2 linked regions of the Tribolium castaneum genome follow. The protein of the gene in region 1 interacts with the protein of each later gene in a pairwise test. Links are inferred from orthologs where the notes say so. Each region holds a gene or a part of one and is shown in the gene's direction. Other genes may lie near its edges.

The links. The genes of interacting proteins can lie anywhere in the genome.
Region 2: the proteins of Snr1 (region 1) and RpS3A interact in a two-hybrid assay, tested with the Drosophila melanogaster proteins (2 studies listed by BioGRID). The link is inferred for Tribolium castaneum from reciprocal best matches to the Drosophila melanogaster genes Snr1 and RpS3A.

Annotation. Positions count from the first base shown.
Region 1 is NC_087401.1:13,705,417-13,709,510, reverse strand, and holds the start of Snr1 (SWI/SNF-related matrix-associated actin-dependent regulator of chromatin subfamily B member 1), read left to right. Parts: upstream 1-1,170; 5' UTR 1,171-1,396; coding exon 1,397-1,668; intron 1,669-1,715; coding exon 1,716-2,023; intron 2,024-4,084; coding exon 4,085-4,094.
Region 2 is NC_087401.1:15,473,745-15,477,086, reverse strand, and holds RpS3A (small ribosomal subunit protein eS1), read left to right. Parts: upstream 1-1,324; 5' UTR 1,325-1,398; coding exon 1,399-1,460; intron 1,461-1,585; coding exon 1,586-1,809; intron 1,810-1,974; coding exon 1,975-2,177; intron 2,178-2,361; coding exon 2,362-2,676; 3' UTR 2,677-2,722; downstream 2,723-3,342. Other genes in the region: e(r) (enhancer of rudimentary homolog), read left to right, coding at 1-172, 218-340; NADH-cytochrome b5 reductase-like, read right to left, coding at 416-1,285; Had1 (lambda-crystallin), read right to left, coding at 2,727-3,258, 3,303-3,342. UniProt on the Drosophila melanogaster protein: Essential for oogenesis; required for late follicle cell development.

The DNA of each region.
Region 1 (4,094 bases):
TCATAATTGTAAAACTAATGGTACTTTTCATTTTTTTATGTTCGTAAAAATAAAAAAGTTATGAGACCTCAAAGTCTCTCTAGGTGTGACGTCGGGCGGCACAATTGACTCAGCTGGTTAAAATTAACATGTTTCCAAAATTATTTCGCTGTTCCTCAATTTTTTCCATTTAGCTATTGCAGTCCTATATCTTTTATGAATGTTTAATGAACTATAACTAAATAAAATAAATAAAATTCAGAAATCTCACGTTATAAAACCGTTGGATATCAAAAAATGAGAACAAGACATCTTTAGAAAAACAAGAGAATCGTAATTTCATATCTTTGAAAACACTAGGTTTATAATTATAAACCACATCTACTTATTCATCGAACGTATCTTCAAAAGCATTAACAAATAAAGAAATTGTATTTCTGTAAATAACAAGTCGTTTGTAGAACACTTATTTTTTTACATATTTTTTTTTGTACAAAACATTCTGCAAGCATCGCTTGTTCTATAAATCATAAAAATTTCCATTAGTTAATGTTTTTAGTTTTTTTTAAATAAAATAATATTTTATTAATATAAATATTTCTCATTAATTAATATTTATTATTTATAAGAAATTGTAGAAAAAATCTGATAAAATTCGAAGGCTTACAGAAAGAAATAAAGCAAAAAAAATCACAAACGCTGATTTTTGTGTGATTATTTAAATGGATTATTATTGGTTATTAGTGATTCATTACAGTATCTCCTTAAACAAATTACTTCAATTATCACAAATAACACTTTCTTTCAATATTTATATCTTTTAAGTCAATAAAATTATCCGGAGATCTCAATACAATGCCGAAAGGAACAGTAGTGTGTAAATCGCCGTAAATGACCCAATACTTAACAGTTTTTGATTACGCAATAGATTAAATAACTCTTTGTAATCAAAAATCTTTTTCACTTTTTTATCAAAGTCCAACATAAAACACTTTATAATCACGAAAAAACGCAAAACCAAAGGCAACACTAGTATTTACCGGCATATAATTTTAAATTGACTCTCTCTAATGTAAAAAATTAACAGTACACACGCAGAATTGCTAAATAATCCATTAAATGAGCAATTACCAAAACTTGTTACTGTTTTCGGCAAGTACGACATGTCGTCACCAGAGGACGCCTAGTTAATGCATTTCTGGTGATTTCAGTTTTGTCAATTAGACTAGCCACCAAAAGTGTTTTTTTACGAATTGTTTGAATTAATTAACCCCAAGTACCATCTCGTGCAAAACCAAACGAAATAATGTGAATCGTGTCCTTGCTTTGTGTAATTTATGCCCGTATTTTCCATTTGAGTGCCCTGTTGACATTTGTTGGTGTCACCTAACCTCACAGTGTTAAAGGACGCGGCAAAATGGCCCTCCGAACATTCGGTGAAAAACCGATAACTTTCCAATTGGAGGAAAATGGGGAGTATTACTGTGTGGGCTCCGAGGTGGGGAACTACCTGCGCCTGTTCCGGGGTTCCCTCTACAAGAAATACCCCGGAATGTACCGCAGGTCAATCACAAACGAGGAACGCAAACGCCTCATCGAGCTGGGCTTGAGCCAGCACGTTCTGGCCAGCAGTGTCTCACTGCTTCGGGCCTCGGAAGTCGAGGATATCATTGAGGGAAATGACGAAAAGTTGGTTTGTTTTTTGGGGGTTTTGTTGTTATTTGTTGATTATTTAGGTATAAGGCTGTTTCGGTGCACACTTCGGACCCGCCGATGCCGAGGGAGAGTAAATCGAAGAAGTCGATGCAATGGGTGCCCTCACTCCCAAACTCCAGTCATTTGGACGCTGTGCCCCAAGCCACCCCGATTAATCGGAACAGAGTGGCGGCGAAGAAAGTTCGGACGTTTCCGTTATGTTTTGATGATACTGATCCAGAGCTGAATATGCAAAATGCGGCACAAGGGGAGTTGTTGGTCCCGATAAGGCTGGATATGGAAATTGAGGGGCAGAAGCTGAGAGACACTTTCACGTGGAATAAAAACGGTAATTTTTTGGGTTTTTCTAATCACAGTACGCTCTGCATTTGAAATAAAGTTGTAACTTTTACATTATTTATTCTTATCAACTTATTTTCGAATACTTATTAGCGCATTTTGATCTGAAATTTAATTCTTGAATAATTTTTAAACCTGCCACCAGTCATTTAAACTAATCAAGATTGCGTGATACGAGAAAAATATGTTGGCAATGACTGTAGTCTAGTAACTAAGGTTACATCTGTTATCTAAATTGACACCATATTGTTGATACTGGGTCCTGATTATTAACTACAAACTTGTAGTAAATGATAAATTTTTTGATAAAACGCATTTTTAAACACTTTTAATATGATTTATAACTTTTTTTGAGTTTAATTTAATTAAAACACGTCAAAAGATCATCTAAATATGTCGAAAATGACCTGAATTTGACACTCTTTAAAAACAGTTCCAATTAGATTAAAGTGTATGTTTTCTTTAAAGTGACTTTGCTTTTTTGTTGAAGCAAAACTTCATAAAAACGCTAAAAAATCATCTAAATATGTTGAGTAATAGCGTTATTTCCAGATTATTTTGCCTTTTTTTTATTAAACTTATCTTGTTTTTGAGTATGAGACTTACTTGTTCTTGAAAGTTTTGTCAAAAAATGACTAAATTAGGTCGAAATTGACGTTTTCTTCAGTAGTGATTTGGACACATTTCGTGAAAATGCACCGAAAAATCATCTAAATATGTCAAAACTTATGTCATTTTGACAATGTTTTCTCTTTTTTGAAAACTTTTTTTTTATTAAATACCCCGAAAAATATCTAAATATATCGAAAGTTACGGTTGGTTCGACATTATTTTAGTTTTTGTCGTTAGATTTATTTTTTTTAGCGAGAAACTGACTTTTTTGTAAAATTTTGTCAAAAATAAGCAAATTGAGATAAAATTGACGTCCTAGTTTTAAGAATTTCTGGTAGGTTTATTTGTTTTGGAGCCAGGAACTGCAAAGTTTCGTGACAGAATTAATCAAATGTAATGTTTTTTTTAACAGCTTAATTTCTTAAAATAATCTAGCTTTGTTTTTATACGAAATTGCATTAAAATGCGCCGAAAAATTTACTTTCATATTTTTCTTGCCTTTTTCATTAAGTAAGTAAGTAAGTTTTTGAGCGAAAATCTCCATTGTTTTGAAGAATTTTGTCAAAAAGCCAATTTAAATAAAAATTGAGGTGCTTTTTCAGTCTATTTAATATATTATTATTTATTAATTATTCTAACCAACTGTATTTCTGTTGAAAAATGTACTAAACACGCTCAAAAATGTAAAATAATTGAGTTTTAAGTTTAAAATGGTGATAAAACTCCCAAAAAATGCAAAATTATCACCATTTTTGACGCAGGTTAGTGACTTTTCGGCTTATTTTTGAGAAATTTAATAATAATAAAAGTGTTTTATTCTCCCATTTTTGTTATTTGATAATTGTAGAGTGGGCCCAAGTCCCAAACCTTTGTTTTTATCTATAGCCGACCTAATTTAAAGTTTAGACCAAGTAAATACCAACTCAAGAAAAAAAAAACTTTTTTTTTTTTTCAGAAGTTTCGTTTTTTCTTCTGTCTTTTTGTTTTTTAGTTCGAACATGTATTTGACTGTCATCCTTCATCATCAACAGAGTATTTTTTTTAATTACACAATATTTTGTGCATTGTTGTTAGTTTCGTAGTTTTTTTATTTTTATTATTTTTATATTTGTTGAAATCGGGATATTAGAAATTATATTTAGGGTTTCAATTACCAACTGTTAAACTTTTATAAAAAAAATTTAACAAGACGAAAATACAAAACAACCGTTGGGTATTTTTGAGAGACGATTTTTTAAAATAAAAAAAATAAAAAAAAATTGTATAAAAAATAATGTTTGGTGCTTTTGAGCGACTAGTTTTTGGTTTTTTTTTCAATATCAAAAAAATCAGCAAACGTAACTTTAGTCACTTATATAGTTATTGACAACGTATATCTCGCAACTCGATTCAGTTTATGCAAATTATTAGCATTAACAAAAATCATATCACAATTTAGAGAGTCTCAT
Region 2 (3,342 bases), about 1.8 Mb from region 1:
GCTCGTCCAGCCGGGGGCTAACCCCGAGACTCGCACCTACTCAGATTACGAGTCGGTGAATGAGTGTATGGAAGGTGTTTGTAAAATATACGAGGAGCATTTAAAGCGCCGGAACCCCAATACTCCCACAATCACCTACGATATTTCCCAGTTGTTTGATTTTGTCGATCAGGTATTTGTGCTAATTGTTGCAATTTTTCGTAAAAGTGGCTTTCAGTTGTCCGATCTGAGTTGCTTGGTGTACCAGAAATCGACAAACACCTACGCCCCCTATAATAAGGACTGGATAAAGGAGAAAATCTATATCTTGCTGAGGCAAGCAGCAGGACATGCAGACTAAGGGAAAAACTAAACTAGAATCTTACTTTAAGTTTTACTTAACGTTTTCTTTAATTATAAATGTATTAAACCTAGGTTAAAACACGTAAACATGACTGCTTTCAATTCCTAACCGGTCTATTATTTCTTTAATTTCCCGCCCAAATGTTTCACTCCCGCTTATCATGACTTGAACTTGACCCAACTTTCCTTGGACGTAATTTTCTAAATCACAGAAAGACATTTTTTTATTATGAATAGTCTCGTGGTACTTTGCCACGTTTTGATCACAGTTATTGCAAAAAACCTCGTAATTAAAATTCCAAAACGACCCCAACTCATATAATTCGTCCCTCAGTAAAATATCGTCACAATTCCGGACACAAAAAAATAATTTAACAAAACTTTCACACTCTTCATTGTGCACAACAATATCACGGATTAGGGCGTATAAGGGGGCTATTCCGGTCCCCTGAGCGATAAAAACCAAAAACTTGTGCGCATAATCGGGGGCAAACTCGCCGTAAGGCCCCCGCCAGGACGTTTCGCCCCCCACTTGCATTGTTTTGAACAGTTGGGACATCCGTCCCGTGTCGTATAACCTGACCAGGACCGTAAACTCCAAACTTGCATTTTGGGGCACCGGAATGGGGGTGTAGGCCCTTGTGAATTCACCTTGGGGGTCCCGCCCCCTTAACAAGAAATACTGTCCCGGCTTGTAGTCCAAACAATTCGGTTGTCTCTCCCTACAATCGGCGTATTTAAACGTGTAAAAAAACACACTTTCGTTGATTTTTTTCCGTCCAGTTAGCACAAAAACTGTGTAAGAAGTGGGGTTAAGTGCATTGACAGCGCCACTTTTTTCTCGCCCTAGTTTTTGGTATTTCCTCAACTGGGCCTCGTACACGTCCAAAATGCACGGATTGCAACCCGAATTGCAACAATCAGCCTCGTCTGGGGGCTCCATAGCCTCAAAAACCGGGCGCTAGCGCGCATGCGCGTGCCATTTCTCTGGTAATTGTTAGTAATTTTCGCGCGGTGGTTGTGGTACCGCAACCTCTTCTCGTGTGGCGGTTCAAGATGGCAGTTGGTAAAAATAAGGGGCTGTCCAAAGGCGGCAAAAAGGGCGTTAAGAAGAAGATGTAAGTCAAAAATTTGTACTAAATTGTGTGCCCCGGTGCTGTCTAGGCGTCCCGCCGGTGAAAACCGGGCGAAAATCGGCCGGATGGGTGGGAAAAAGTGTGATAACGTGGGGTTGTTTTTGTAGTGTGGACCCGTTCACCCGCAAAGACTGGTACGATGTTAAGGCCCCCTCGATGTTTGCCACCAGGCAGGTGGGCAAGACGCTGGTGAACCGTACGCAGGGTACGAAAATCGCGTCCGAGGGGCTCAAGGGGCGCGTGTTTGAGGTGTCTTTGGCCGACTTGCAGAATGATAATGATGCTGAGCGGTCGTTCAGGAAGTTCAGGCTCATTGCCGAGGATGTTCAAGGTGCGTAGCGTTCATTATTTAAAAAACTGTTCCAGGTGGCTTTACATGATGTGAACACCCAGCTCGCATTGAATTAAAACTGTTGAGAATTTTGAAGTCTGACCCAATTTTACCCTTCTTTGGGGGGCTTGATGTGTTACAGTGTTTCAAATTTGGCGGTTTCAGGTCGCAACGTCCTGACCAACTTCCACGGCATGGACTTGACCACCGATAAGTTGCGTTCAATGGTCAAAAAGTGGCAAACTTTGATTGAAGCCTCAGCTGATGTCAAAACCACCGATGGTTATTTGTTGCGTGTTTTCTGCATCGGCTTCACCAATAAGGACCAGTTGTCGCAACGTAAAACTTGTTACGCCCAACATACCCAGGTAATCACTCGTGTGGTTGAACTATTATTTAAAATTGGCGCCGTTTTGTGATGAGACACTCAGCTCGCATTGATTCAAACGTGATGAGAATTCATGTTCCCTATTAAAATCAAAGTCTGATTGTAATTTTCTTGAAAAAGTGGGGGCAAGCTGTGGCAATTGTTGATCGATTGTTTGCCGTCAGGTCCGTGGCATTCGCAAGAAGATGGTGGAAATCATCACCCGGGACATCACCGGGAGTGACCTCAAGGAAGTCGTAAATAAACTACTTCCGGATTCGATCGCGAAAGACATTGAAAAGGCCTGCCAGGGGATTTACCCACTTCATGACGTGTACATTCGTAAAGTGAAAGTCTTGAAGAAGCCGCGTTTTGAGCTTTCCAAGCTTTTGGAATTGCACGGGGATGGGGGCAAAGGGGGGTCGGGTGAGCCCGGGGAAGCGGGTGCTAAAGTGGACAGACCCGAAGGATATGAACCACCAGTCCAAGAGTCTGTTTAATTTAATTGTTTATAAGAAAAAACAAAAAATAAACGTTTGAATACGACGTGCTATATTGATTTTTTCAATTGGCTCAGTTTGGTCAGAGCCAAGTCCCGCCAATTCCTGCGTTCCTGTAACTTATCCAACGGGACCGAATTCTCCAACTGTTTGGCGATTTCCTGCACAAGGGGGCCCTCCCACTTTTGCAACGGTTTAAAGTCCTTGCTGACTGAATAAATCGTGTTTGAATATTTCTTGCAATAGTCGACGAAGCCCTCGGCGTTAAGGTGAGTGGTTTCAAGGGGGCCCAGAAAGGCGTAGCGCATGCCGAGCCCGTCGGACATGACCTTGTCGATGTCTTTGACATCGAGGACTCCGTCGGAGACAAGGTTCCACGTTTCGTTCAAAAGGGCGTACTGTAGGCGATTTACAACAAAACCGGGGACTTCCTTAGTCAGTGAGACGGGAGTTTGCCCGATTTCCTCCATAATAGCGCGCGTTTTTTTGGTGACTGCGGGGTCAGTCCAGGGCGCTGGCACGATCTCGACCAAGGGCACGTAATACGGGGGGTTCACCGGGTGCGACACCACGATGTTTTTCCTACAAGTCGCAATTAAATTACAGAAATTGTTGTGCCAAATTACTTGTTTTTGAGATGGTCGGAGAATAGCGAAGGGAGGAAGG